3 linked regions of the Pelodiscus sinensis genome follow. The protein of the gene in region 1 purifies or fractionates together with the protein of each later gene. This does not show direct contact. Links are inferred from orthologs where the notes say so. Each region holds a gene or a part of one and is shown in the gene's direction. Other genes may lie near its edges.

Region 1 (10,074 bases):
AGGCAAACCCTGTTCTGTAGTAGACTGTGGAGAATGTAGCGAGGCAGGACAAAGAAGTTGAGCCGGCCTAACACAGATGTACTTATTCAATGCACCATTGTTGAGAGCTCTGCCTAGAGAACACCCTGTGGCTGAAATATAAGGAGACTTTCCCCTGTTAAATGCTAGTGAGCCATGTGCTACTGGCAGTTTTGAAACATTTATAACAGGCCACATGTGGGTGGATTTTCACAGGGACAGTAAAAGGCGTCTCATGGGTCTGGCCTACGAAAGCTCATCACCTAATAAACCATCTTGTTAGTCTTTAAAGTGCTACATAGTTCTGTCTCTTGTTCCCTGAACCCAGGACTCTCTCTTCTCACATTTCAAGTCCCTGCTCCAAAACAAGAAGGCATCAGAACTTCTTAAAAACATGGCTGTAAGGGGTTTTGTTTGTCTATGGTGTCAAAGCCATTTCATTCTTGGAAATGGCTACCTTGGTTTTGCTAAAACTCCCCACAAAATTCAGTCTGAGGTTGGCATCTGACACGATGGACACTCTCCAGTTTGGCAAAATGTAACCGACATCAGAGTGCCATAATGGGAAGTATTAGGCAATCCTGAATACAGGCAATGGGAAGTATTAGGCGCGCTTGAAACCAGGCAATGGGAAGTATTAGGCACTCTTGGAAACAGGCAATGGGAAGTATTAGGCACTCTTGGAAACAGGCAATGGGAAGTATTAGGCGCTCTTGGAAACAAGCAATGGGAAGTATTAGGCACTCTTGGAAACAGGCAATGGGAAGTATTAGGCGCTCTTGGAAACAGGCAATGGGAAGTATTAGGCAATCCTGAATACAGGCAATGGGAAGTATTAGGCGCGCTTGAAACCAGGCAATGGGAAGTATTAGGCGCTCTTGGAAACAGGCAATGGGAAGTATTAGGCTCTTGGAGCCAGGCAATGGGGAGTATTAGACGCTCTTGGAGCCAGGCACTGGGGAGTATTAGGCTCTTGGAGCCAGGCACTGGGGAGTATTAGACGCTCTTGGAGCCAGGCACTGGGGAGTATTAGACGCTCTTGGAGCCAGGCACTGGGGAGTATTAGGCTCTTGGAGCCAGGCAATGGGGAGTATTAGACGCTCTTGGAGCCAGGCACTGGGGAGTATTAGGCTCTTGGAGCCAGGCAATGGGGAGTATTAGACGCTCTTGGAGCCAGGCACTGGGGAGTATTAGGCTCTTGGAGCCAGGCAATGGGGAGTATTAGACGCTCTTGGAGCCAGGCACTGGGGAGTATTAGACGCTCTTGGAGCCAGGCACTGGGGAGTATTAGGCTCTTGGAGCCAGGCAATGGGGAGTATTAGACGCTCTTGGAGCCAGGCAATGGGGAGTATTAGGCTCTTGGAGCCAGGCACTGGGGAGTATTAGGCTCTTGGAGCCAGGCAATGGGGAGTATTAGACGCTCTTGGAGCCAGGCAATGGGGAGTATTAGACGCTCTTGGAGCCAGGCACTGGGGAGTATTAGACGCTCTTGGAGCCAGGCAATGGGGAGTATTAGGCTCTTGGAGCCAGGCAATGGGGAGTATTAGACGCTCTTGGAGCCAGGCAATGGGGAGTATTAGGCGCTCTTGGAGCCAGGCAATGGGGAGTATTAGACGCTCTTGGAGCCAGGCAATGGGGAGTATTAGACGCTCTTGGAGCCAGGCAATGGGAAGTATTAGACGCTCTTGGAGCCAGGCAATGGGGAGTATTAGGCTCTTGGAGCCAGGCAATGGGGAGTATTAGACGCTCTTGGAGCCAGGCAATGGGGAGTATTAGGCTCTTGGAGCCAGGCAATGGGGAGTATTAGGCTCTTGGAGCCAGGCACTGGGGAGTATTAGGCTCTTGGAGCCAGGCAATGGGGAGTATTAGACGCTCTTGGAGCCAGGCAATGGGGAGTATTAGACGCTCTTGGAGCCAGGCACTGGGGAGTATTAGGCTCTTGGAGCCAGGCACTGGGGAGTATTAGACACTCTTGGAGCCAGGCACTGGGGAGTATTAGGCTCTTGGAGCCAGGCACTGGGGAGTATTAGACGCTCTTGGAGCCAGGCAATGGGGAGTATTAGACGCTCTTGGAGCCAGGCACTGGGGAGTATTAGACGCTCTTGGAGCCAGGCAATGGGGAGTATTAGACGCTCTTGGAGCCAGGCAATGGGGAGTATTAGGCTCTTGGAGCCAGGCAATGGGGAGTATTAGACGCTCTTGGAGCCAGGCAATGGGGAGTATTAGGCGCTCTTGGAGCCAGGCAATGGGGAGTATTAGACGCTCTTGGAGCCAGGCAATGGGGAGTATTAGACGCTCTTGGAGCCAGGCAATGGGAAGTATTAGACGCTCTTGGAGCCAGGCAATGGGGAGTATTAGGCTCTTGGAGCCAGGCAATGGGGAGTATTAGACGCTCTTGGAGCCAGGCAATGGGGAGTATTAGGCTCTTGGAGCCAGGCAATGGGGAGTATTAGGCTCTTGGAGCCAGGCACTGGGGAGTATTAGGCTCTTGGAGCCAGGCAATGGGGAGTATTAGACGCTCTTGGAGCCAGGCAATGGGGAGTATTAGACGCTCTTGGAGCCAGGCACTGGGGAGTATTAGGCTCTTGGAGCCAGGCACTGGGGAGTATTAGACACTCTTGGAGCCAGGCACTGGGGAGTATTAGGCTCTTGGAGCCAGGCACTGGGGAGTATTAGACGCTCTTGGAGCCAGGCAATGGGGAGTATTAGACGCTCTTGGAGCCAGGCACTGGGGAGTATTAGACGCTCTTGGAGCCAGGCACTGGGGAGTATTAGACGCTCTTGGAGCCAGGCAATGGGGAGTATTAGGCTCTTGGAGCCAGGCAATGGGGAGTATTAGACACTCTTGGAGCCAGGCACTGGGGAGTATTAGGCTCTTGGAGCCAGGCACTGGGGAGTATTAGACGCTCTTGGAGCCAGGCAATGGGGAGTATTAGACGCTCTTGGAGCCAGGCAATGGGGAGTATTAGACGCTCTTGGAGCCAGGCAATGGGGAGTATTAGGCTCTTGGAGCCAGGCAATGGGGAGTATTAGACGCTCTTGGAGCCAGGCAATGGGGAGTATTAGGCGCTCTTGGAGCCAGGCAATGGGGAGTATTAGACGCTCTTGGAGCCAGGCAATGGGGAGTATTAGACGCTCTTGGAGCCAGGCAATGGGAAGTATTAGACGCTCTTGGAGCCAGGCAATGGGGAGTATTAGGCTCTTGGAGCCAGGCAATGGGGAGTATTAGACGCTCTTGGAGCCAGGCAATGGGGAGTATTAGACGCTCTTGGAGCCAGGCAATGGGGAGTATTAGGCTCTTGGAGCCAGGCACTGGGGAGTATTAGGCTCTTGGAGCCAGGCAATGGGGAGTATTAGACGCTCTTGGAGCCAGGCAATGGGGAGTATTAGACGCTCTTGGAGCCAGGCACTGGGGAGTATTAGGCTCTTGGAGCCAGGCACTGGGGAGTATTAGGCTCTTGGAGCCAGGCACTGGGGAGTATTAGGCTCTTGGAGCCAGGCACTGGGGAGTATTAGACGCTCTTGGAGCCAGGCAATGGGGAGTATTAGACGCTCTTGGAGCCAGGCAATGGGGAGTATTAGACGCTCTTGGAGCCAGGCACTGGGGAGTATTAGGCTCTTGGAGCCAGGCACTGGGGAGTATTAGACACTCTTGGAGCCAGGCACTGGGGAGTATTAGGCTCTTGGAGCCAGGCACTGGGGAGTATTAGACGCTCTTGGAGCCAGGCAATGGGGAGTATTAGACGCTCTTGGAGCCAGGCACTGGGGAGTATTAGACGCTCTTGGAGCCAGGCAATGGGGAGTATTAGGCTCTTGGAGCCAGGCAATGGGGAGTATTAGACGCTCTTGGAGCCAGGCAATGGGGAGTATTAGGCGCTCTTGGAGCCAGGCAATGGGGAGTATTAGGCGCTCTTGGAGCCAGGCAATGGGGAGTATTAGACGCTCTTGGAGCCAGGCAATGGGGAGTATTAGACGCTCTTGGAGCCAGGCAATGGGAAGTATTAGACGCTCTTGGAGCCAGGCAATGGGGAGTATTAGGCTCTTGGAGCCAGGCAATGGGGAGTATTAGACGCTCTTGGAGCCAGGCAATGGGGAGTATTAGGCTCTTGGAGCCAGGCAATGGGGAGTATTAGGCTCTTGGAGCCAGGCACTGGGGAGTATTAGGCTCTTGGAGCCAGGCAATGGGGAGTATTAGACGCTCTTGGAGCCAGGCAATGGGGAGTATTAGACGCTCTTGGAGCCAGGCACTGGGGAGTATTAGGCTCTTGGAGCCAGGCACTGGGGAGTATTAGACACTCTTGGAGCCAGGCACTGGGGAGTATTAGGCTCTTGGAGCCAGGCACTGGGGAGTATTAGACGCTCTTGGAGCCAGGCAATGGGGAGTATTAGACGCTCTTGGAGCCAGGCACTGGGGAGTATTAGACGCTCTTGGAGCCAGGCACTGGGGAGTATTAGACGCTCTTGGAGCCAGGCAATGGGGAGTATTAGGCTCTTGGAGCCAGGCAATGGGGAGTATTAGACACTCTTGGAGCCAGGCACTGGGGAGTATTAGGCTCTTGGAGCCAGGCACTGGGGAGTATTAGACGCTCTTGGAGCCAGGCAATGGGGAGTATTAGACGCTCTTGGAGCCAGGCAATGGGGAGTATTAGACGCTCTTGGAGCCAGGCAATGGGGAGTATTAGACGCTCTTGGAGCCAGGCAATGGGGAGTATTAGGCTCTTGGAGCCAGGCAGGGCTGCCAGCTGCAGTCTACCCTTAGGGGACACATGAAGGACTAAACGGGGCAGGGGCCAGATGGGGCAGCCAGAGCCTGGCACTGCAAGAGGCTCCCCCCCCGCCAGGGGATCTTCTGACCCAGAGGCGATGCCAGGCCCCTGCCGTGGCTGGAGGGGGCAGCAGATCCCCCCAAGCCAGGGGTCCCCTGTGAGCCCTGGCAAGCCAGCAAGGATGGGGGGAGGGTGCATCGGGCTGGCACCGCAGGCAGCTGCAGACCCCCACGTGGGTGCGAGGTGCGTGCAGGGCGGGGCCATTCTGAGGGGCCCGTCGCCCCGGGCCAAGTCGGAGGCGCGGCGCGTGCGAGCTTCGAACAGCGATGCGCACCCGCAGCGCCTGAGGGATTGGCGGGAAATTTGCACCCTCCCCCCCCTTCTCGCGGGAGGGGAAGGGGGTATATGTATGTGCGCGCGCGCGCGCGCGCGCTGTCTTGTCACGTGACAAAGAGCGCCGCCTGCCTCGCCGCCGCAGAACGCGTCCGCCTGTCACGTGACAGAGGAAACCCTTCCCCCCTCCTCCCCCGTGCAAGCGGCGACAAGGCCCCTGGGGCGCGCCCCTTTCCGTCACGTGACGGCGGAGTGGGCGGGGCCCCCGGCGGGGGCGGGGATCGGGTCGCTGTGCGGGCTCGTTCGCACCGGGCGCCTGGTGCAGCGGGAGCGGCCCCGCCCGGGCGGCCATGTCCATGGAGGACCCCTTCTTCGTGGTGAAGGGGTGAGTGGGGGCGGGGTTATGTGGGGGGGCTGGGTGTGGGGGGGGGCAGGGTAGTGTCGGGGGGGCTGAGGGGGGGGGCAGGGTAGTGGGGGGACAGTGTTATGTTGGGGGCAGGGTAGTGGGGGGCTGGGTGGGGGGGCAGGGTTATGTTGGGGGGCTGGGTGGGGGGGCTGGGTGGGGGGGCAGGGTTATGTTGGGGGGCTGGGTGGGGGGACAGGGTTATGTTGGGGGGCAGGGTAGTGGGGGGCTGGGTGGGGGGGCAGGGTTATGTTGGGGGGCTGGGTGGGGGGGCAGGGTTATGTTGGGGGGCTGGGTGGGGGGGCTAAGTAAGGGAGGAGGGTAACTGGCAGACGGAGGGTTAATGTTGGGGTGACTGGCAGGGGTGCTGAAGAAGATGGGCGGATGGGTGGAGGGGAGTGAGATGGGGCAGGGATCATCCGTACTCTCCTCACCTTTGTAAGAGGTGAGAGAATCTCTGGGGTGGAGGAATTCTTTACTTTCCCTGCTTTTCCCCACTTCCCTGGAATCTTCCACCTACTTAACCTTTCTCTCCCTATTTACCAAAGGGAAACAAATTTGTATGGGCTTCTGGCCCCACCTGCCTCATGCTCTGTCCCAAGTAGGGATGTCAACAAGTAGCCAATTATACGATTAACCAATGAGCCTAGGCTTATTGTTTAATCTTGTTGACTACATGTATGCCACCCCCTTTGCTGCCTCTGTATCAGTGTGGGGGGGGAGAGGGGTGGGAAGTGGGAGCTGGTGCCCATGAGGAACTGGTTTTAAGCAGGATCCCAATGAGCACTGGATCTGCCGCCCTTGCTCCCCTTTCCCTATGCTGCTGCCTCTGATAGAGAGGCAGCAGTGAGGGGCATAGGCTAGAACTGATACATGTGGGAATCAGCTTTCACGCCAGCTCCCCACGCGTATGGGCTCTGTGGATCTGCCTTCCCCCCCTTGCATACTGGGGTGGGCAGGTAGGAGCCAGTGGTTAGGGGAGCAAGCTTAAAAGCTGGTTCCCCCACCACAGCACCGGCTCTGTGGTTGAGCCTGCCCCCTCCATGCTGCGGTCTCAGAGGCAGCAGGGAAAGGAGGGTGCAGGAGAGGCTGTTGCAAGCAGCAGCTTCTGTTCACAGGGGGTCCAAGCTCTCTGCTCCACATACCATGAAGCAGCCTTCAGGGCAGCAGTCCCTGTCAGCAGGGGTCCCAGCTCCACATGCTGCTGCTTCCTTATCAGAGGGTATGTCTACACTAGTCCCCGATTTTGAACTAGGGAGGCTAATGCGGGCGACCAAAATTGCAAATGAAGCGTGGGATTTAAATATCCTGCTTTTCATTAGCGTGTTCCCGGGCGGTCGCCATTTTGGCAACTGCCCGAGAACATGCTAATGAAGCATGGAATGAGGTTTAACTGGCAATTCGAAATAAGGGGTTTATTTTGGAATTGCTCTTCTCTGCTGCGTGTAGACGTGGGCAGTTATTCCGGGCTAGTCAAAATGGCGGCTGCCCGGGAATATGCTAATGAAGCACAGGATATTTAAATCCCATGCTTTGTTTGCAATTTCGGTCGCCCTCATTATCCTCCCTGGTTCGAACTAGGGGGCTAGTGTAGACATACCCAGAGAGAGCAGTGCAGGGCAGCAGGCAGCCAGTCCACAAGGGGCGCTGTTTTTTAAATTGGCTCCCCTTGCAGACTGCTTCCGCATGCCACCCTGCATGGCTGCCTCTGAAGCCAGGAGTGCACTGGTTGCTGGTCCTGCCCCCTGCGGACTATTGAATAGTGGCATAACCGATAATATTTTGTGCGGTTACATGATTATTCAGTTACGGAAGCTTCGGGGGTAGCCGAGTTAGTCTGTACAGGATAAACTTAAAAAACAACAAATGGTCTGGTAGCACTTTATAGACTAGCAACATGTAGATAGTATCATGAGCTTTTTATAGACTACATGTTTTGTTAGTCTATAAAATGCTACCAATGCATTTGTTGTTTTTTAAGTTTATTCAGTTACACTATATGTAACGTCCCTAGGGTGCATGTGGGATGGGTGGCCACACCTCCAGCAGCAGATTTGCTCCCGTGGAGGTACAAGGGACTATATCATAGTCCACTGGGATGGTATGTTCTCTAATATATTGCCTAATAACCTGAGAGCTAATGTTTGTGAAGGTTACGCTGCCCACTTCCCAAACATTTTTCCAGGATACAAGTGTTTGTGATTTCTTTTAGTGTGGGCTGAGCCTAGGGTATACCAGAAATGTTTACCTTGCAGCAAGTGTGTATAGACTGCCCAGCCTATCCTTGATAAACCTATCTTGTGTTAATAGTCAATCAGTTAAACTCGGGATAAAAAAATCTCCTATGTACACAAACAATAATAGGTGGTTAGAGAATGAGATTGGGAAAAGTATTTCTTGGTTGCAGAGTTAACTCTGGTAATCGTTATTTGGGCGTGACCACTTGAGTTGGCCTAGCCCTAGTTAGAGTAACAAAACTACAGTTCTGTCAACCTAGGCAGGGATTTTGAGGAGAAAGCAGTTTTACGGATTTTGGAACCCAGCCTGCTGCAGAGAGCGTGTGGACTGGCTAATGAGTTGCCTGTTTCTTGTGGTTTATAATATTTTCAATAGTTTGGTGTTTGAAGGGGTTGCATGCATTTCTTGAGCCTGTGGCTGCCCTGGCATAGAGAGAATATTTTGCTTGAGATGAGTGGAGACAAATGGGTCGGGGGAGGAGGAAAGACCCTCATCTCAGTGGTTCTCTACTAGGCTGCTCTTACTCTGGGGATGTGCAGAGGTCTTCCTGGGTACATAAACTTAGCTATTTAACTAGTTTTACAAAAAGACTACACACAAAGCACTAGTAAAATTCATACAAATTAAATTTCATGAAGACTATGACTTGTTCATGCTGCTTCAGATGCTACATACTGAAATGTATTGTATTTATATTCCTTGATTTATAATTATACGGTAAAAACAAAAGTAGGAATTTTTCAGTAATAGTGTGCGGCAACACTTGTATTTTTGTGTCTCTTTTGCCAGCAAATAGTTTTTAAGTGAGGTGAAATTTGGGGGCACACTTGACAAATCAGGCTTATGAAAGAGACACAGTAGTGTGGAAATACTGACAGCCACTGCTCTATCCTAAGGAGACAAGTAGGCAGATGCAAGAAATAGGGTCTTTTTTTAAGGAGATTGTAGAGGGCGTATAAGTAATATGATGCAATTGTGGTGGGGCAGTGTGTCACTGCTACATGAATGCTGAGGGCTACAGACCTTAAAGTGAATTTAAATTGGGGATAATGTGCAAAAAATAGAGGGAAACCAATATTATGGGGGAGCTGCTTGCATAGGGAAATTGTCTGAGTGCTATTAATGTGGCTTGACTTGTATATGGTTGCAGAATTTGGGTTTGAAGGAGTCAAAATTTTCCAGTGCAAGCTTTTAGTTTATTATCTTAATTTCAAGTCCTAATGAAATCATGACAAGAGGAACAGATGGTTGAGAGAGAGGCAGGGAAGCAGAGGAAAAACCGGTTGTGAATATGGAGAGAGGGTAAGAGTTCACCAATGTGGATGGTAAAAATGAAACTTGCTTCAAGGATGTCTTGCTGTTAGGGAGAGAAAATAAAATACTTTGGGCTGGTAGCTGGGCTATGTCCAGTCAAACTTCACAGAATGTCTAGTAGGAGGGTGGAGACTTGCTGATACAGTGAAAGAAGGGGTTTAGGTTCTCTTGTGCTGTCCCCTAAGATGACATAATTCTGCTTGTGTCCGCCTCAGATTTAGCTCTGAGGATAGTCTTTTAGTTGATATTTAAGTAGATTTTTTTCCAAATATATTGGGGTACAAAATAAAGATACGCACACTGTCTTCCTCTTATTTCGAATTTGTATTCCACGGGAATAAGACTGACATTTGCTGGTAGACATTTGCTACTTATCCTCTTACCCTAAACAATTAAATGATGGTCCTAGTGCCATCAGAAAAGCATGCATTTCCATTATATAAATTGAATGTGCTTTTCCATGAAGCTTGTGGCAGCAGCAAAGGCAGTTCATATTTGACTGGTAATATTAAAATAATCAGGGCCATGCTGAACACAATCCATGTAAAAATTCTATGAGGATAATTCCTGCAATTCTTATTGCCCTTTGTGAAGTGAAATTATTGGGGGGGAGGGAGGGGAAGGAGAAGCATGCATATGTAGTTGATATTGCAGTGTTACCTAGGCATTTCCCAGTTATGTGATGAAAGATGTAAAGCATAGTCTACTTCCTCCATTCAGCAAAGAATATTGGTGCAACAGTGTAACTACTACGGCAGTGTATGAAGATTTAGTTATGTGGCAGCATTAGGCTGAAGAATTGGGTCCCTTCAAAAATTGGGATTGCTGTAACAATTTCATAATGTGGTAATTCCTACCACACTATGGCTGTGTCTAGACTGCATCCGTTTTCCGTAAAAGGGATGAAAATTAGACACATCGCAATTGCAAATGGAAGCGGGGATTTAAAGAGGCATAAGGGATCTTTCAGAAAAGGCTTTATTTTCCGAAAGATCCCCGTCT
Region 2 (9,779 bases), on another chromosome or scaffold:
ACGCTAATTCGAACTAGTTTTTAGTTCTAGACGCGTTAGTTCGAATTAGCTTAGTTTGAATTAACTAATTTGAACTAAGTTAGTTCGAACTAGCGCTGTAGTGTAGACGTACCCTGGGAGACTCACTCAGCACAGACACTGGCACCGTTGCACTCGCGGCACAGACACCTGCAGCATTGTGGCTGAAGGGAGGCTGCTGAGCAGAGATCCCGAGAAGCTTGTTTCCCCCTCTCCCTGGTCCCAGGCCTGCACAATGAGTCTCCCTTTGCCTGGTTCATAGGTGGAGAGCCACCCAGTTACAGTCCAGCCCAAAACAACTGGAAATGGAGCTGGGGACAAGTGACCTGAAAACCCTTCTCCCTATGGCTTGGCGGTGGGGATTGGAGACAGCAGAGAGGCAGTCCCCCTCCCCCTCCAGCTATTTCAGGTTCTGACCATTGCTCTAAGTAACAGCATCATCACCAAACCCTTCGGGGTCAGGCGCAGGTCCAGTGTGTTGTAGGTGTGTCAGCAGTTTGGCCTCATGGGTGCTTCGGACATGGGGCCCAGAGGATGGGTGTTACTGGGGCTGGTAGGAAAGGGGAAATGTTGCAAATCCCCAGGTACAGAGGCTTACACCAGTACAGTGCAAGTGAGTGAGTGGTGCCTCCTTGGGCCCTGGGCAATCCCATTAAGAGTCAGGGATTTTCACACCTGGGGAGGGCCCTGCAGCCCATCTCCAGCCAGGCAAAGAGCAGCTGCAGGTCTCTGGGCCAGACACCATTAGCGTCTCTCACTTTGCCCCCTCCATGTGCTGACGCAGACCTGCCCCAGCTGTCATGCCCAGTAGCTTCTATGATGAGGTAACTGGTCTGTGGATATGGGAAAGTCAGTGGATGTGATATACCTTGACTTTAGCAAGGCTTTTGATACGGTCTCCCACAATATTCTTATCAGCAAGTTAAGGGAATATGGATTGGATAAATGGACGGTAAGATGGATAGAAAGCTGGCCAGACTGTCGGGCCCAATGAGGAGTGATCAACGGCTCGATGTCAGGTTAGTGGTCGATTTCTAGCAGAGTGCCCCAACGATCTGTTCTAGGACTGGCTTTGTTCAGCATAGAATCATAGAACCATAGAGCAGGAAGAGACCTCAGAAGGTCATGAAGTCCAGCCCCCTGCTTTAGCAGGACCAATCCCAACTAAATCAACCCGGCCAGGGCTTTGTCAAGCCGAGACTTAAACACCTCTAGGGATGGAGACTCCACTACTTCCCTAGGTAACCCATTCCAATGCTTCACTACCCTCCTAGTAAAATAGTTTTTCCTAATATCCAATCTGGACCTCTCCCACCACAACTTGAGACCATTGCTCCTTGTTCTGCCATCTGTCACTACTGAGAACAGCCTCTCTCCATCCTCTTTGGAACCTCCCTTCAGGAAGTTGAAGGCTGCTATCAAGTCCCCCCTCGCTCTTCGCTTCTGCAGACTAAACAGACCCAAGTCCCTCAGCCTCTCCTCATAAGTCATATGCTCCAGGCCCCTAATCATTTTGGTTGCCCTCCGCTGGACCCTCTCCAATGCTTCCGCATCCTTTTTGTAGTGGGGGGCCCAGAACTGGACACAATACTCCAGATGTGGCCTCACCAAAGCCGAATAAAGGGGTATAATGACATCTCTGGATCTGCTGGCAATGCTCCTCTTAATGCATCCTAATATGCCATTAGCCTTCTTGGCTACAAGGGCACACTGTTGACTCATATCTAGCTTCTCATCCACTGTAACCCCCAGGTCCTTTTCTGCAGAACTACTACTTAGCTGGTTGGTCCCCAGCCTGTAACAATGCTTGGGATTCTTCCGTCCCAAGTGCAGGACTCTACACTTGTCCTTGTTGAACCTCATCAGATTTCTTGTGGCCCAGTCCTCCAATTTGTCTAAGTCACTCTGGACCCTATCTCTGCCCTTAAGCGTATCTACCTCTCTCCCTAGCTTAGTGTCATCTGCAAACTTGCTGAGGGTGCAATCCATCCCCTCATCCAGGTCATTAATAAAGATATTGAACAAAACCGGTCCTAGAACCAAACCTTGGGGCACTCCACTAGAAACCGACCGCCATCCTGACATCGAACCGTTGATCAGTACCCGCTGGGCCCGGCCTTCTAGCCATCTTTCTATCCATCTTACCGTCCATTTACCCAATCCACATTCCCTTAACTTGCTGGCAAGAATAGCGTGGGAGACCGTATCAAAAGCCTTGCTAAAGTCAAGGTATATAACATCCACTGACTTTCCCATGTCCACTGAGCCAGTTACCTCATCATAGAAGCTAATCAGATTGGTCAGGCACGACTTGCCCTTTGTGAATCCATGCTGACTATTCCTGATCACTTTCCTCTCATCCAAGTGTCTCAAAATGGATTCCTTTAGGATCCCTTCCATGATTTTTCCAGGAACCGAGGTAAGACTGTAGAAACCGGCCTATAGTTCCCTGGATCGTCCTTCTTCCCTTTTTTGAAGATGGGCACTACATTTGCCTTTTTCCAATCATCCGGGATTTCTCTTGATCTCCACGACTTTTCAAAGATAATGGCCAAAGGCTCCTCAATGACATTTGCCAACTCCCTCAGTACCCTCGGGTGCATTAAGTCTGGACCCATGGATTTGTGTATGTTTAGCTTTTCTAAATAGTTCCTAACCTGTTCTTTACCCACCAAGGGCTGTCCATCTTCTTCTCGTCTTGTGTCACTTAGCACAGAAGTCCAGGAGCCGACCTTGTCCGTGAATACAGAGGCAAAGAAAGCATTGAGTACTTCAGCTTTCCCCACATCATCTGTCACTAGGTTACCTCCTTCATCCATTAGGGGCCGCACACCCTCTCTGATCACCTTCTTCTTGTTGACATGCCTGTAGAAACCTTTCTTGTATCCTTCACATCCTTAGCCAGTCGCAACTCCATTTGCGCTTTCGCATTCCTGATAACCCCCCGGCATTCTCGAACTATACATTTAAACCCCTCCCTGGTCATTTGTCCAAGTTTCCACTTTCTGTAAGCTTTCTTTTTGTGCTTAAGTTCACCAAGGATTTCCCCTGTAAGCCAATCCGGTCTCCTACCAGGTTTGCCTCTCTTGCTATGCGTCGGGATGGTTTCTTTCTGTGCCTTCAATAAGGCTTCTTTAAAATACTGCCAGCTGTCCTGGACTCCTTTCCCCTTCATGTTAACATCCCAGGGGATTCTTTCCATCAGATCTCTGAGGGAGTCAAAATCTGCTTTTTTGAAGTCCAAGGTGTGTATTTTACTACTCTCTTTTCTTCCTTTGGTCAGGATCCTGAAATCTACCATCTCATGATCACTGCTTCCCAGGGTGTCACCCACCTCTACGTCCCCTATTAGTTCCTCCCTGTTTGTGAGGAGAAGGTCAAGCTGTGCCCGGCCCCTGGTCGGATCCTTCAGCACTTGTACCAAGAAGTTATCCCCAACATTCTCCAAAAACTTCCTGGATTGCCTGTGTACTGCTGTATTGGTTTCCCAACAGATGTCAGGGTGATTAAAGGTAACCCATTCCAGTGCTTCACCACCCTCCTAGGGAAATAGTTTTTCCTAATATCCAACCTGGACCTCTCCCACCACAACTTGAGACCAATGCTCCTTGTTCTACCATCTGTCACTACTGAGAACAGCCTCTCTCCATCCTCTGGAACCTCTCTTCAGGAAGTTGAAGGCTGCTATCAAATCCCCCCCCACTCTTCACTTCTGCAGACTAAACAGACCCAACTCCCTCAGCCTCTCCTCATAAGTCATATGCTCCAGCCCCCTAATCATTTTGGTTGCCCTCCACTGGACCCTCTCCAATGCACCCACATCCTTTTTGTAGTGGGGGGCCCAGAACTGGACACAATACTCCAGGGCTGTGTCTAGACTGGCCAGTTTTTCCGGAAAATCAACCGCTTTTCCGGAAAAACTTGCCAGCTGTCTACACTGGCCGCTTGAATTTCCGCAAAAGCTGAAAAGGGGTCCTTCTTTCTTGCTCCTTCCTCTCTGCATTTCCTCCCGGTATCCGACTTTCCCACTCCCCTCAGGGTTTTGGTCACTGTCCTCCGACGAACCTAGTTTAAAGCCCTCCTCACTAGGTTTGCAAGCCTGCCCACGAAGATGCTCCTTCCTCTCTCCGTTAGGTGGATCCCATCTCTTCCTAACAATCCTTGTGCCCGGAACAGAGTCCCATGGTCAAAGAAACCAAAGCCCTCTCTGCGACACCACCTGCGCAACCACGCATTGACGTCCTCAATTCGACGATCCCTGCCCAGTCCTTTCCCTTCAACAGGGAGGATGGACGAGAACACCACTTGCGCTCCGAGTTCTTGGATCCTTCTTCCCAACATCTTTATTAATGACCTGGATGAAGGGATGGATTGCACCCTCAGCAAGTTCGCATATGACACTAAGCTAGGGGGAGAGGTAGATATGCTGGAGGGCAGGGTTAGGGTCCAGAGTGACCTGGACAGATTAGTAGATTGGGCCACAAGAAATCTGATGAGGTTCAACAAGGACAAGTGCAGAGTCCTGCACTTGGGATGGAAGATTCCCAAGCATAGTTACAAGCTGGGGATCAACTGGCTAAGTAGTAATTCTGCAGAAAAGGACCTGGGGATTACAGTGGATGAGAAGCTGGATATGAATCAACAGGGTGCCCTTGTAGCCAAGAAGGCTAATGGCATATTAGGGTGCATTAGGAGGAGCATTGCCAGCAGATCCAGAGATGTCATTATTCCCCTTTATTCAGCTCTGTTGAGTCAACATCTGGAGTATTGTGTCCAGTTCTGGGCCCCCCACTACAAAAAGGTCGTGGACACATTGAAGAGGGTCCAGGGGAGGGTGACCAAAATGATGAGGGGGCTGGAGCACATGACCTCTGAGGAGAGGCTGAGGGAGTTGGCCTTGTTTATCTGCAGGAGCGAAGAGCGAGGGGGGATTTGAGGGCAGCCGGCACGTTCCTGAAGGGGGGTTCCAGAGAGGCTGGTCTCAGGGGGGGCGGGTGGCAGGACAAGGGGCAATGGGCTCCAGTTGCAGGGGGGCAGGTCCCCAGGCGGTGGGAAGCGCTGGGCTGGGTGCCCTGGGGGGGCTCAGTCCCTGGAGGTGTGTGTCTCGCTGACACAGCCCTGGCCGGGATGATGGAGCCGGGCTGGTCCTGCCTTGGGCTCGCGGCCTCTGCCCGCCCCTGGCCAGTGCCTGCTAATAGGGGGAGGGGCGGCTCCATGCTCGCAGGGCTCTAGGCCCGGCTGGGGAGGGGGCGGAGCTAGCCCGCTCGGGGGCGGGGCTATGTGCGCTCTGCTGCTCCCATCCAGTCCATCGTCGCTGGGAGGCTCGCTCCGCCCCCTTCGCCAGGCTCCGCGAGACAGGCCCGGACCTCCATGGCGCAGGCGCAGTGCAAGCTGAGCTCCGCGCGCAGGGCGGGGCAAGGCGGGGTCTTCACCCCTTCCGGGCCCGTAACCATGGCGCCCAAGGGCCTGCCAGCCCGCAGCTGAGAGACAGCGAGTGCGCACGCGCCGCCCGGGGTGGGCCTTAGTGCCGGTAGCAGTGCGCGTGCGCAGTGGCGCGGCGGTGTTTTGCCCTGGTCAGCTGCGCTCCCGCCTGCCCCGTCCGGAGCCAGCGCCCAGCCCGGCTGCGCCATGTCCTACGGGCCGCTGGAGGCGGGCCGGCCCGCGGGCCCCCCGGCCCGGGACTTCGGCGCCATCGTCCAGACCTGCAGCGCCAACGTGCAGCGCATCGCCCAGTGCAGTGAGTGCGGCCCGGCGGGGGGGGCCCGGTTCGGCCCGGCGGGGGGGGCCCGGTTCGGCCCGGCGGGGGGGGCCCGGTTCGGCTCGGCGGGGGGATCCGGCAGGGGGGGCCGGGGAGGGACCTGGTTCGGTTCGGGGGGGGGGGTCCGGCGAGGGAGGCCCGGGGAGGGACCTGGTTCGGTTCGGGGGGGGGGGGGTCCGGCGAGGGAGGCCCGGGGAGGGACCTGGTTCGGTTCGGGGGGGGGTCCGGCGAGGGAGGCCCGGGGAGGGACCTGGTTCGGTTCGGGGGGGGGGGGTCCGGCGAGGGAGGCCCGGGGAGGGACCTGGTTCGGTTCGGGGGGGGGGGTCCGGCGAGGGAGGCCCGGGGAGGGACCTGGTTCGGTTCGGGGGGGGGGGTCCGGCGAGGGAGGCCCGGGGAGGGACCTGGTTCGGTTCGGGGGGGGGGTCCGGCGAGGGAGGCCCGGGGAGGGACCTGGTTCGGTTCGGGGGGGGGGGGTCCGGCGAGGGAGGCCCGGGGAGGGACCTGGTTCGGTTCGGGGGGGGGGGGGTCCGGCGAGGGAGGCCCGGGGAGGGACCTGGTTCGGTTCGGGGGGGGGGGTCCGGCGAGGGAGGCCCGGGGAGGGACCTGGTTCGGTTCGGGGGGGGGGGGGTCCGGCGAGGGAGGCCCGGGGAGGGACCTGGTTCGGTTCGGGGGGGGGGGGGGGGGTCCGGCGAGGGAGGCCCGGGGAGGGACCTGGTTCGGTTCGGGGGGGGGGTCCGGCGAGGGAGGCCCGGGGAGGGACCTGGTTCGGTTCGGGGGGGGGGGGTCCGGCGAGGGAGGCCCGGGGAGGGACCTGGTTCGGTTCGGGGGGGGGGTCCGGCGAGGGAGGCCCGGGGAGGGACCTGGTTCGGTTCGGGGGGGGGGTCCGGCGAGGGAGGCCCGGGGAGGGACCTGGTTCGGTTCGGGGGGGGGGGGTCCGGCGGGGGAGGCCCGGGGAGGGACCTGGTTCGGTTCGGGGGGGGGGTCCGGCGAGGGAGGCCCGGGGAGGGACCTGGTTCGGTTCGGGGGGGGGGTCCGGCGAGGGAGGCCCGGGGAGGGACCTGGTTCGGTTCGGGGGGGGGGGGGCCGGCGAGGGAGGCCCGGGGAGGGACCTGGTTTGGTTCGGGGGGGGGGGTCCGGCGAGGGAGGCCCGGGGAGGGACCTGGTTCGGTTCGGGGGGGGGTCCGGCGGGGGGCCCGGGGAGGGACCTGGTTCGGGGGGGGGGGGGGTCCGGCGAGGGAGGCCCGGGGAGGGACCTGGTTCGGTTCGGGGGGGGGTCCGGGGGGGGAGGCCCGGGGAGGGACCTGGTTCGGTTTGGGGGGGGGTCCGGCGGGGGGCCCGGGGAGGGACCTGGTTCGGTTCGGGGGGGGGCCGGCCCGCCCGCCTATCGCCCATTTGCCTCCCGGAGCCGGCCCAGCCGCCCGCCTCCCCTATGTCCGGGCTGGGCCCCCGGGAGCGGCCCCCCAAGCCCTGGCCGTGCTGTCAGCCCCACGGCGGCTCCCAGGCACCCCCTGTACCTCGAGCGCTTTGTCAATAGCCACAGCTGGTCACCCCTGCAGCCCGTGGTGGCCTCTGCTTAAGGCCTGTTAGTCCGCCCCGACTCTTCCAAGGGACGGTTCCCTGCAAGCTCTCTTCCTCTCATAGATGTGCAATAAAGCAGTTTCCATTGCGGGAGAGAAATAAGCATCTCAGATCTTCTCCTGTGAAGCCCTTTGCTTCTTGTGAAAAATCACAGTTCCCTCTAGCAAACTAGATGGCAAGTTTGTAGCCTGATCTTGATTATAACCATAGTACCCAGACAACCAGATCAGGATTTAGCCAGGAAGTGCTGTAAACTTTGTGTTCCCACAGCCTAGGGAGTGGACTACTCGCATTTCTGCCCCCCACCCTTTGCTGCCTCTGTATCAGAGGTAGTAGTGGGGAGAAGCCGGTTTAAAAGCTGGTTTTCCCCCCAGCACTCTCTCCACAGTGCTGCCCATCCTGCCCTTTGCAGTGGGGAGGGGCGGCTGCTGCTGCTGCTGCAAAGCAACCCCTGTCAGCAGGTCAGTCCTGGCCACGGACCTGGTGTAGGACCAAACCCCAAGGCAGCTCTGCAATTTAAAAGGCAGTAGGAGCCGGGGGGGGGGGGGGCAGGCTGCCTGGCTCCTACTGCCTTTTAAATTGCAGAGCCACAGTGAGGTTTGGTCCTGCACCTGCCAGGAGTCAGGACTGAGCAGGCTGCCTATCAACTAATCAAGTAGCTGATAGAATTTTTATCGACTACTCAATTAGTTCAATACCCGCCTCTTAACATCCCTAGTACAATGCGATCTCTGCATAGAAGCACTTACAAGCTCAAGTTTACCTTGAATAAGGGTTTGGAGGCCTGGACTCTTTACATGTATACTGATGGTGCGATTCAGGTGATATGGGAATGAACTGAACTCAGGAAGCACAAGACAAAATTAGAATGATTTTTTTTTAATTTTTTGTTTTCTTCCCCCTCCTGTTCCCCAGTATTGTCACTTTGCTTTGTCTTCTCATGGCCAGTTGGATGAAACCGAATATAATCCTCCTACTTCTATGCTCTTACACCATTTCACCTGATCTGTGTCAACACAGCAGCACATGAGGCATAGAACTAGCACAAATCTTTCTCAAAATAGTCAAGGCATGTTTTATCAAAGGCCTTTATAAAATAAAGGGGCACCAGCAACTTAGAAGTCACGCTTGAGTTTACCAATTGATATAAATGCCCAATATTACTGTAACAGAGAAGTTACTCTTCCATTTTGTTTGCTTTAGGCCTGTGGTGCCCAATAGGCCAGCCACTAAGCCACATGTGGCTATTTGGCCAGTTGAGTGTGGCCAGTTTGCTATAGCAAAACTGGTTGGACACCACAGCTTTAGACAAGAATGCTTTCATTAGTCAATTTCATTGTATTCAATTTCCCCCATTAGTGTGGGTTTCAAACAGAAGATATTACATGCATCACCTTTCTTGGCTTTGATCATCTGCGCATAGAGTACTATCGGAAAGCTTTCTGTCATGTTGAAGACTCTTCTGAGCTTTACTTGCCTTTGTAGAAGATGTTACACTTATGACCTATTACAAGAATTGTTCTGGTCTGAAATCTATGATGTTTGGCTCCTAAGGGTAAGAATTCAGCTGGGTGCATAGGGAGCTCTCTACAGAGCTGTCTACTGGCATAACTAATAGAACTTCAGGAGATCAACATGCTACCCAGACACGGTTCTGAGTTCCAGTGTCTAATTATTCCATAAAGCCACAAATGTACTATGTGTGCGGTTAGGTGGTACATTAAAATAAATTGTTAAATGCAAATTTGTATAATTTAAATAAATTGCAGGATGCATCATGAGCAAATCCAACATAAGTGACTCAATCCAACCCTCAATCTAAATGAAAAAGTCACACCAATTAAACCAAATTGATTTACAAACCAGTTTAGTTAAATAGTGCAACATCTTTGTGTAGACTGGGCGTAATGTTCTTCTGGTATGATGGAATTGAGTCATTTGTCACTCTCCATTTTGACCATGAGTTGTTCTCAGAGGAGAAAGCAATGCCAGGGTTGATATACGTTATAATCCCTTTGTCACAAGATTGTAATTGAAATAGTCAACAAGAAATAGACTTGAAGAATCCTATTCAGCTCGCTTAAATGCAGGTTGTTCAAACATCTTTTAAGATTCTTCCTCCTTCTCAGTGTGATACTCGGGTACATCTAGACTGCGAGAGTCTATCGAAAAAAGATACGCAAGATGTGCTCCGCGTTTTGCGTATCTTTTTCCGATACTTTTGTCGGAAGAGACTTTTCCGAAATTTGGCCCATCCAGACTGGGCCACATTTTGGGCAAAAAAACCTTTTGAAAGCCCCCTTCTTCCTTGTGGAACAGCGCATTTGCTCTTCTACTCTGGTATTCTGAACACCCCTCTACCCCTCCCCCTGCAGTCTGGCTGTCCCCTCGTTTCTCTGGCTGGAGAGAGGCTGTTCACAGTCAT
Region 3 (10,647 bases), on another chromosome or scaffold:
TATGTTGCACTCAAATTGAAAAAGTGATCTTGTGGTTAAAAAGGTTGGAGATCACTTCTTAGAACATATCTGTTCAATGAAGACCACAAATCCTAGACCTCCTCTGAGGGAAATAGTATCTCATATAAAATTTCAATAAACAAAAGGAGCCAAGTTAGCAAGAGAATAAATGGAGTTACAATTACTTTCAAAACTATATTTATTAAAGGATTTATGACAGTTATGCAGAGCTCATTTATTTTGGAAGTTGAAATTCAGAAATATTTGGAATGGTTCATAACCGAAATGTGAACAACTCATGTAACTTTTTTTTTAAAAGAAAATTGTTGTGGGTTAATGTGTTCAAATGTCTCAGAGAGATATGAACACCTACAAAATCTTCATCAAGCACTCTTAAAATTACAGTATCCACCTGAGAAAGTGAGGAAACAGATTGACAGGGTGAGATGACTAACCAAAAGCCAACTACTACAAGATGGGCCCAACAAGGAAAACCACAGGATTATCACCTGCCATCTCTTACAACCCCCAGCTGAATCCTCATCAATGATCTACATACAACATATCCTGCAAAATGATGCCTCACTCTCACAGACCTTGGAAAGCAGGCCAATCCTCACAGACAGACCCCCAACATGAAGCAAATACTCACCAGCTACCCACACACCACATCACAGAAATACTAACTCAGAAACCAACCCCTGCAACAAACCCCATTGCCAGTTCTGCCTGCATATCTACTCAAGCGACACCATCATAAGACCTAACCACTAACAAATGAATTAGGTTATTAGAGCATAAGGTTTCGTAAGCTACAACTCACTTCCTCAGATGAAGAGGAAAAAAGAAAGCAAGAGAAAAAAAGAAAAATAAAAGGACACAGAGATGGAGTGTGACAGAGAAACTGTAGATCTGCAATTTATTTGCAAGCTTAACACTATTCCTCTGGGTTTGATTAGGACCAGGGAATGGCTCACTACAAAAGCAATTTTCCCTCTAGTGGTAGTCACATCTCCTCCTCAACTATTGATAGTTGGTCCCATCTACTCTGACAGAATTGGCCTAGTTAATACTGGTCCTTCACTTGATAAGGTAACTAACTCCCTTCTTTTCATGTGCTAGTATATTTATACCTGCTTCTGTAATTTCCACTCCAATGCATCTGACAAAGTGTGTCTTTGCCCAGGAAAATGTACACTCAAATGTGTTAGTCTATGGTAGCCATCCTGCAGCAAAAAAAACGTCAAGACCAGACTTCAAAGAGAAACTGCTGAGCTACAGTTTATCTGAAAATTTGACACCATCATTTTAGGATTAAACAAAGATTGAACGGCTAGCCAACTACAAAAGCAGTTTCTCCTCTTGGTGTTCACACCTCCACATCAGCTGCTAGAAGTGGGCCTCATCCTCCCTGACTGAATTAACCTAGTTATCTCTAGCTTTATTCTTATATTTATACCTGCCTCTGGAAATTTCTACTACATGCAGCTGATGAAGTGGGTCTTTGCCCATGAAAGCTTATGCTCCAATACATCTGTTAGACCAGGGGTCTCCAAACTTTTCAGCCCGAGGGCCGCATTAACTATCAAACAGCAGTTCGGGGGCCGACTACACACTTGAGGTCCAAATAAAAAACAATCAAAACATGGATGTTGTTTTTAATTATTTATTTAATATTATTTTATTCAGTTATTATTTAATAACACATTGATACACTACACATGAACACCTGTATTAGTGTGAATGGTGAAATTGTTTCCTGGATGCCAAAATAGCAGACATTTCTGGCTTTAGATTTGTTGTCCCTAACATCAACAGTGACCTGAGATTATCATCGGACAAGTTTGTTCTCAAATTGTTCTTCACATATTTCAGACGTGGGGAACTCAGCTGTTGCTTCAGCCATGAAGACCTTGCACTGCTGAAAGTGCGTCAAGTTGTTGGCCTGTACTTGTTCCAAAAACAAATTCGCAGCATGCCAGGCACATGCTATGGGGCACTGCATTAATGCACTGGGGAAAACTCACCCTTCAGGCCAGCGAGAAGAAATCCAGAGAGTGAGAAAAATACTTAAAAGGAGCAAGGGACAAATGAAGCATTAAAAATTAACGTTTTTCCTCACCTAGAAGCTGATTTTAGGCACTAGATCTGGTGTTTTAGGAGAGATCTGAAAGAATTTAATATTGATTTAAATCAGGGGTCACCTTTTTAAAGTTCCCGCCGGGGTTCACGTTCCCCCGCACGTCGCCGGGCAGGCGTTACCACCACCGCCCATCCTGCCCCCTGATTGGCCGGCTGCCCTGTCAGTCTGGGCAGGGGAACGCCGCCCGTGCTAACCCCCGCCCCCTTTGCTGCCGCGCGGCCGCTTGTCAGCGGAGCGGCCCGCTTCTCCTGCCCCGGCGCGGCGTGAGTACACGCCGCACACCCCTGACAGGGCCCCCCCACCGCGGCAAGAAGGGCCCGTTCGGCGGCGCCCCAGGGACGGTCTCCACGAGCCGGATGAGAGGGCCTCGCGGGCCGCATCCGGCCCGCGGGCCGTAGTTTGGAGACCCCTGTGTTAGACTATAAGGTGCCACAGGACTCCTTGTCGCTTTTGCGGATCCAGACCAACACGGCTACCCCTCTGATACTAGGCTATACAGGCAGTCCCCGGGTTATGTACAAGATAGGGACTGTAGGTTTGTTCTTAAGTTGAATCTGTATGTAAGTCGGAACTGGCATCCAGATTCAGCCGCTGCTGAAACTGATCAGTTTCAACAGCGGCTGAATCTGGATGCCAGTTCTGACTTACATACAGATTCAACTTAAGAACCCCAGGCTCCGCAGCTTTGCTCTGCTTTGCTCCCCGTCCCCCTGGTCTGCAGACCAGGGGGACGGGGAGCAAAGCGGCGGAACACGCGGGCAGCGGACAGCCCAGACGCGTCTGTGCTGTCCGCTGCCCGCATGTTCCGCCGCTTTGCTTCCTCTCCCTGGTCTGCTGGAGACCAGGGAGAGGGAGGGACCCGTTCGTAACTGCGGATCCAACGTAAGTCGGATCCGCGTAACTCGGGGACTGCCTGTAACAGTGTTTCCCTAATGGTATTTCATGGAACCCAGGAGTTCCATGAAGTGAAAATAAGGGTTCCATGAGAAAATTCCATTACAACAACATTTTTTATTAAAAAAATTAATATTATATGAGTTTTCTTTTTAGATATGTGCAATTAAACTAAATGTTGATCTCGTGACCTTGTTTAGCATTTGTTTATTATTTTCCTTACTTATTTGTGGTCTACTTTTTCAGCTCCATATATTAGACTGTTATTCGGGGTTCTGCAAAATTCTTTCAAGTTTAAAAGAGTTCTGTGGCCAAATAAAATTGGGAAACATTGGTCTATAATGTGCCACAAGACTCGTTGCTTTTTAGAAGCATAGGTGCTTACTTTAAAATGCATCATCTTCCAAAACGTGTGTCTGATATTTTGGCATATTACAAGACCAAATTAACATTTTCACCTACATGTACCCTTCACCAACCTCACACACTGGATATATTTAGATGCAAGTTCACCCCTGTTTTCAGATGTGCTACCATACCTGAGTGACAGAGTGAGTATGGGCATAAAGCAGGGCAGCTACTACCGGCACAGTTCAGATACCAGTATAGCGGTCGGGGAGGAGTTAAAGATCTGTAAATAGGCGTTTGCTTTGATGCTGGAGAAATTCTGCACAACCCAATGGCAAAAGATCAAGAGCAACGGCGTTAGAAAAAACACACACACTATACTGCAAGAGCCATCCCGCGCCGCCTTCCTAGCCACGGCCCACTGTCACCCCCTCCCCCCGGCCTGTCTCCCCCGACACCCCCTGCCCCGCCGCCTCTGCACCCGCTCCCCATCCCACACACATTCCTGAGCCATTACCGATCCCCACCCCCTCCAAGGGAGCAGCATCTCCAGGCGCCGAGCCCCTGCCCGCCAGGACTTTACTCACAGGCCGCGTCCTCCTGGTCCCACGACAGCGCGGCAGCCCCGCCGCCCATCACGCGGCTCGAACCGAGCAGGCCCCGCTGCCTACCCGGGGCCGGCCGCGGCTCCCCCAGGAAAACGGCTGAGAAGCGCGACCCGAGAGGGAAGCGCGGCGCAGGACCAGGGGAGCGTGCGCTCCCGCAGCCAATCCGCGAGCGCGGCACACTGCCTGCACGCTGGGAAACGGCCGTTTCTGCGGATCAGGGCCGCGCTTGGCCTGTTGGCTATTGTAGTTTTTTGGGAGCGGAAATTGCTGTGGTCCATCGCGGCACCCTGCCGCCCGCCAGCAGCAACGCTGATCACACAGGACCGGATGGGGTCCTGGTGCACTTTATATGGTGCAATACGTGTACTTGGCACTTTGCAGAACATGGGAAAAGGCTCCAGCCCTGAGGCGTTTGCCTTGTAAATCACTAACAAGCAGAACAGCTCAGTAGCCGGAAGCCATGGAGACTTTGCTGAGGCTATCATGGGAGAACTCAACATCAGAAAAAGGGGCATCATATGCTTACTAGGTCATCACAGTCTACTTTACGACTATATTCTGCTGAGGGACTCTTGGACTCAACCAGTCTGGGAATCAACAGAATCCTAATGAGTAGCTAATAAGAGAATAACTGCTATTTAAATGTAGAACTTACACTGCTATAGAATAGAATACTATCTGTTCCTTGGCTCTGAACAGTAACTTCCCATCCCCAGCAAATGTAGTTTTTCTTTCTGTCTATTCCTCTTTCCCATTATGGGCCTATTTCACTACCCTTACAGGATAAGTGGTGTGTTACTCTGAGACTAGTCTTACTGATAAAACTGAAAAAGAGATCAGTTCAAAAGCTTGGTTCGCTCATCTGAAAGGAAAGCAGAGGGAAATGGTAGTTTCTGTGGCTCAGGGCAGCAACTGGCAATTGCCTTTTGACAACTGTAGTTTTTTGGAAGCAGAAATTGCTGTGGTCCATCACAGCACCATGCAGCAACATTGATCAATAAGAGATACTACCCATATCCACCCTGTCTCTCTCATATCTTGGGACCAGTAGGGCTACAGGGACATTGCAAACAGCTACTGATATGATACAGAGATTTTTCAACATGAATAAAGGCATTAACATTTGCCCCTATATTGGGGAAGGGGAAGTGTTATCATTCACTATATGTACACTTGAGGTCGTGTTATTGATTCTAGTCTGCAGTTTCAGAAACTTTGGTACATTTCCTGATCTCCCTTACATATTCTGGGGAAATTCACACACATACAAAATCATAGAATCATAGAATACTACGACTGGAAGGGACCTTGAGAGGTCATCGAGTCCACTCCCTGCCTCCATGGCAGGACCAAATACTGTCTAGACTATCCCTGATAGACATTTATCTAACCTACTCTTAAATATATCCAGAGACGGAGATTCCACAACCTCCCTGGGCAATTTATTCCAGTGCTTAACTACCTTGGCAGTTAGGAACTTTTTCCTAATGTCCAACCTAAACCTCCCTTGCTGCAGTTTAAGCCCATTGCTGCTTGTTCTATCCTCAGAGGCCAAGATGAACAAGTTTTCTCCCTCCTCATGACACCCTTTTAGGTACCTGAAAATGGCTATCATGTCCCCCCCCCCTCAGTCTTCTCTTTTCTAAACTAAATAAACCCAGTTCTTTCAGCCTTCCTTCACAGGTCATGTTCTCTAGACCTTTAATCATTCTTGTTGCTCTTCTCTGGACCCCCTCCAATTTCTCCACATCTTTCTTGAAATGTGCCCAGAACTGGACACAATACTCCAACTGAGGCCTAACCAGCGCAAATTGAAAAACAAGACAAAATAATTATGGTTTTTACATGTAGGACTTGACATGTTAGACACCAATCAAGAGAAGTCCTTACAAACGAGTGAAAAATCACCCTACAGGCTTCCTGCCTGCCCAGGCTGGGGACTAGCACTGGGACTGAAGCTGAGACAAGAGGCACGACAAGGCTCATAAGACAAACAAAAATATTTCAGAAACCCAGCGTCAACATCCAAGAGCAGGAGACAAGCAGGATCCCGCATCGCTGGGGAAGAACAAAGGTCGCTGCTGCAGACCCGGCCCCGCTTGCTGAGAGCAGGAAAGAGACTGACAGTCAGCGCGCATGCTCGGAGCTAGCTCGGTGTTCCGGCTTAGGTCGACTGACCTCCGCTCTCCGCCATGTTGATTGTGCGAGTCCGCGCGGCTCGCTCTTTTCTCGCTCTGCTGGGTGGCGGTCGCGACAATGGGGCCAGCCGCCATGCTGAGTGTGGCCCACGAGGTGCCTTTCTCTCCACCATGTTGAATGTGGCTCTTCCTGGTTTGCCGGCAGGTGGGCGGTGCTGAGTTCCGGTTCCAGTTCCGGTGGGGCGGGCGGGGTCGGTGGCTCTGCCTGCCGGGCAGGTGTTGCTGGTGCGACGAGACTCAGTATGGAGCATTAAAGCGACGGCTCCGCTCGCGCTCCGGACTTGGCGGTGGCTGTGAGAGGCGCCAGCTGCAGGTGGGAAAAGGCGGAAACCTCCGGGTGTGGCGCCCGGTCGGAGCGGGGCGGCCTGTGTTGTCCTGCCCTAGGCGGGGTGGGGTGGCGCGGAGTCCTGGTGAGGTGCTCTGGGCTAGGCTGGAGAGCGCTCTTGCCCCCCCCCCCCCCCGGGCTGGCTCCCTCTGCGCGCGTCCGGCCCTAGTGCGGGATCCCGGCGGGAGCGGGGGTGACACCACTACTGGCCCCTGTGAGGTGCAGTGGGTGAGCAGCTGGCGCTGATGGGGACCAGGGGATGGGGCCGCCGGGGCCAACACTGCCCGTCTTACCTACTTGATAAACGCGGCATAGAGCACTGGTGCCCCAAACTTAGTAGTGCCCCATGCAGCCGCATAAAGATAGCCTTGTGTGATGATCTATGGGTTTTTTGGTCTCTAGTGTTTGGTAATATTCCAGTGTTTTTTGCAATGGAAAAAAAAGTTGCAAAAAAAGCAAGCACAATTCTGGGATGCATTAATGCAGGGGTTCCCAACTTTTCCGGTCCTTGTACCCCCCCTTGGCTTTTAGTAAACCTTCCCGTACCCCCTATTCAATATGAAAAGAAATAAATTCTAGACTCTAGAATCCACAACTTTTTTCACTAACACTGCTACTTTTGGAATATTTCAATTAGGATAATCTAGTTATTTACCAAATATTCCCCGCACACCCTTGACAAGCTTCTCGTATCGTATGCGTACCCCAGGTTGGGAGTCCCTGCATTGACGGGAGTGTTGTGAGCAGAACAGGAGAAGCCATTCTTCTGCTCTACTCTGCGCTGATTAGGCCTCAACTGGAGTATTGTGCCAGTTCTGGGCATCACATTTCAAGAAAGATGTGGAGAAATTGGAGAAGGTCCAGAGAAGAGCAACAAGAATCATAAAAGGTCTAGAGAATGTGAGCTATGAGGGAAGACTGAAAGAATTTGGCTTGTTTCTTTTAGAAAAGGGACGACTGAGAGGGAACATGATAGCAGTTTTCAAGCATCTACAAGGGTGTCACGAGGAGGAGGGAGACATTGTTCTCCTTGGTCTCTGAGGATAGGGCAAGAAGCAGTGGGCTTAAACTGCAGCAAGGGAGGTTTAGGTTGGACATTAGGAAAAAGTTCCTAACTGTCAGGGGTAGTTAAGCACTGGAATAAATTGCCCAGGGAGGTTGTGGAATCCCCGTCTCTGGATATATTTAAGAGTAGGTTAGATAAATGTCTATCAGGGATGGTCTAGACCAGTGGTCTCCAAACTTTTCACACCCAAGGTCACTTTTTAAATGACAGAACAAGCCAAGATCTACAGCCCTGCCCCTTCTTTGAAGCTCTGCCCTTTGTATTCTCCTTCTCTCCATCACTTGTTATCCCCAGCCCTTATACTGCTGCTTTTTTCCCCAATTCTTCTGTAGGAAGAGGTTTTTCCAACATTTGGCCTGTCTAGACTGGACCAAATGTCAAAAAAAACTTCTTTTGGAAGCCCCCTTATTCCTTGTGGAGAGAGGAATATAGAGGTGACCGAAAGATCATGTTTGCTCTTCCACTAAAAGAAGTGGAAGAACAAATGCGTCCCTGGATGCAGAAGAATTTTTCTGGGCTATCTCCAGAATCCTGAAAAACTCCTGCAGTCTAGCCATAATCTTGCTGGGTTGAGACAGGATATGTAGGCTCTGGGGTGGGGATGAGGGATTTGAGTGTGGGAAGGGGTGAGGTGTGCAAGCTTTGGGAGGAAATCTGGATGCAGGAGAAGGTGGATAAGGGAACACTGGCTCTGGGAGAGGGTGCCAGGCTGGGCAGTGTTGGGGTCAGATGTAGGGTTAGGGTACTAAGCAAGCCACAGATTTCTGAACCCTCACATCCAGGAATTTGGGTTTGGGTATGTGAGGAGCTCAGGGCAGGGGGTTCTGGTGTATGATAGGCTCAGGTCTGAGGGAAAGGAGAGTGTAGGAGTGTTATGATGCTGTGGCCAGATGGGGGCTTGGCTCCAATTTGGGGTTTGTTGGCCTTGCTTCATTTTTAAATAAACTACTGTGTCAAACAAAGTTTTTTGCATTGTCTTTATTTCTGAGAAGGGCAGGGAACCTGTCTTGAGTCCGGGGTCACTGACCCAAGAAAAGTCAGTTGGGGCCACACAAGTGAGATGCAAAAAAAACCCTCCTCCACCCCATCCCCCTCAAGCTTCACTAATGTGGCCCCAACTGTGTTGGTGGGAACAGGGGATATAGTATTGGGGAAGGGTGCTAGTGGGTGCTTTGGCAGGGGACAGGGTGCCAGTGGGGACAGAGTTCTGTGGCTCGGGATGGGAATGAGGACAGAGTTCGGGGAGTGGGGACAGAGTTCTGTAGCTGTGGACAGGGGAGTGGGGACGGGGCGGGGGGGGGGCAGTGGAGGCAGAGAGTCCCCTGCATCTGCCTCCTCCCAGGATTCTTCTCGCCACTCTCCTCCCCCCCCCCCCCCCCAAAAGCCAGTGCGTGCCTCCTCCTGGTCCAACTCTTCCCCCCCCCCCACACACACAGGGAAGCCTCGTGTGCCAGCTCTGGGGCTGACACCCCTTCCCCCCCCCCACACACACACCCCGGAGCAGGGAAGCCTCACGCACACCTGCCCCAGGGTTGACTCACCCCTCCTGTGCAGTGCAGAGAAGTCGCTGTGTTCCTCCTCTGGAGCCAATGCTCCCTCCCGCAGAACGCCTGGCAGAGCAGCTAGCGCACTTCCGTAATCGCCATTAGTGGTGCTAAGCAGCGGGATTCTGTCCATCCCCGGGAAGCCGACACTACCTCCATTTTCACTTAAGGTAGGTAGTGGGGCTTCTCGGGGGTGGGGAGGAAATGGCAGGGGCGGAGGGGAGCTGGGCAGGATGCCTCACGATTGACTGGTCGAGGCCTTGCGAGCGACCAGTCGATCGCAATCAACCTGTTGATGACCACGGGTCTAGACAATATTTGGTCCTGCCATGAGGGCAGGGGACTGGACTCGATGACCTCTTGAGGTCCCTTCCAGTCCTAGTATTCTATGGTTCTATGTGGGAGTATCTTGGATTTTATATAGAGGCATTATATTTTCTGCCTTATCTATTCTTTTCCTAAAGTTCCTAACCATTGTCAGTTCACACTGAAGAATATCAGCATTCTTTTCAGGATGCATTTAGAAGAGCAACTTGTTTCTTTTTCCTTATAGAGCCCTTTGTTTCTGCAGAAAGAGTTTGGGATGGTTACTAGAGTAGGTGATGACAGAAGGAAAGGTTCTGAGGAACTTGGAACCCTCTTGCTGTTTGTTGCTTTTGCAGCACCAGCAAACAGTGCTTGTATTTATCAAAGCTTGCTCTAGCTGTAGAGCATGTGATAAATGGCATGTATCTTGTTCCGTGTTAGGTTTTAAATAACTAATTTGATATTCTTTCTTGCAGGTCCAAATAAGTGAGATCCTTTTACTCTCTTTCAGTAGAGTAATGCTATGCTGTCAGGTAGTTTGAAAGAAATAAAAATTCTGGTTTTCATTGGCTTAGAACTTAAAATTGATGGGTCCTGCCTCCCCATCAGAAAACTGATAAGGCAGCAACCTCTGTAAGCTATATAGATATTTAACAGCTTTTTCCCTAGTTCTTATCCAAATGTCTTGAGGTGCTTTATGAACTTTTTTTATTTGTATCCTTTGGTATATATGGTTGTGACTATTTTCTTCCACTATTTGATCTGAGGAAGTGGGTCTGGCCCACGAAAGCTCATCTAATAAACCATCTTGTTAATCTTTAAAGTGCTACATAGTCCTGTATTTTATGAACTTTTAGGTATCTGAGGTTGGTAGCATTTTTTGAGAAGAACATAAGATACTGCAGAATCACTTCACCAGTCTGTCCCATCATTTGGGATGGAACACAATTATGGTTTAATAGCACACTGCAACGGTGCAGTCAAATGAATAATCTATCAAGTAGAATTTGAAAAGAACTTAGGAAAGTGCTATGTAATTATAGTGGGCTCAGAAAACCTAATACCCCAGTGTTTAATACTCCTTTTGTCATGAAAAATGACATTGGGTGCTTAATGACAAAGTGAGATTGATCCTTGGTGTTGTGAGTAATGGGCAAAACTATGCCTTCAGCAATATGATGCCCACTAGTAATCCATATTGTGATATTAGTTCAG

What was found. The genes of interacting proteins can lie anywhere in the genome.
Region 2: the proteins of STX6 (region 1) and STX12 purify together in Homo sapiens (affinity purification with mass spectrometry; 4 studies listed by BioGRID and IntAct, counting the BioPlex papers as one, with this or other methods). This does not show direct contact. The link is inferred for Pelodiscus sinensis from reciprocal best matches to the Homo sapiens genes STX6 and STX12.
Region 3: the proteins of STX6 (region 1) and SNAP23 purify together in Homo sapiens (affinity purification with mass spectrometry; 3 studies listed by BioGRID and IntAct, with this or other methods). This does not show direct contact. The link is inferred for Pelodiscus sinensis from reciprocal best matches to the Homo sapiens genes STX6 and SNAP23.

Annotation. Positions count from the first base shown.
Region 1 is NC_134719.1:58,740,770-58,750,843, forward strand, and holds the start of STX6 (syntaxin-6), read left to right. Parts: upstream 1-5,328; 5' UTR 5,329-5,467; coding exon 5,468-5,502; intron 5,503-10,074. UniProt on the Homo sapiens protein: SNARE promoting movement of transport vesicles to target membranes. Targets endosomes to the trans-Golgi network, and may therefore function in retrograde trafficking.
Region 2 is NC_134735.1:22,765,255-22,775,033, forward strand, and holds the start of STX12 (syntaxin-12), read left to right. Parts: upstream 1-5,474; 5' UTR 5,475-5,646; coding exon 5,647-5,755; intron 5,756-9,779. UniProt on the Homo sapiens protein: SNARE promoting fusion of transport vesicles with target membranes. Together with SNARE STX6, promotes movement of vesicles from endosomes to the cell membrane, and may therefore function in the endocytic recycling pathway.
Region 3 is NC_134714.1:66,550,077-66,560,723, forward strand, and holds the start of SNAP23 (synaptosomal-associated protein 23), read left to right. Parts: upstream 1-6,342; 5' UTR 6,343-6,504; intron 6,505-9,174; exon of another isoform or gene 9,175-9,296; intron 9,297-10,647. UniProt on the Homo sapiens protein: Essential component of the high affinity receptor for the general membrane fusion machinery and an important regulator of transport vesicle docking and fusion.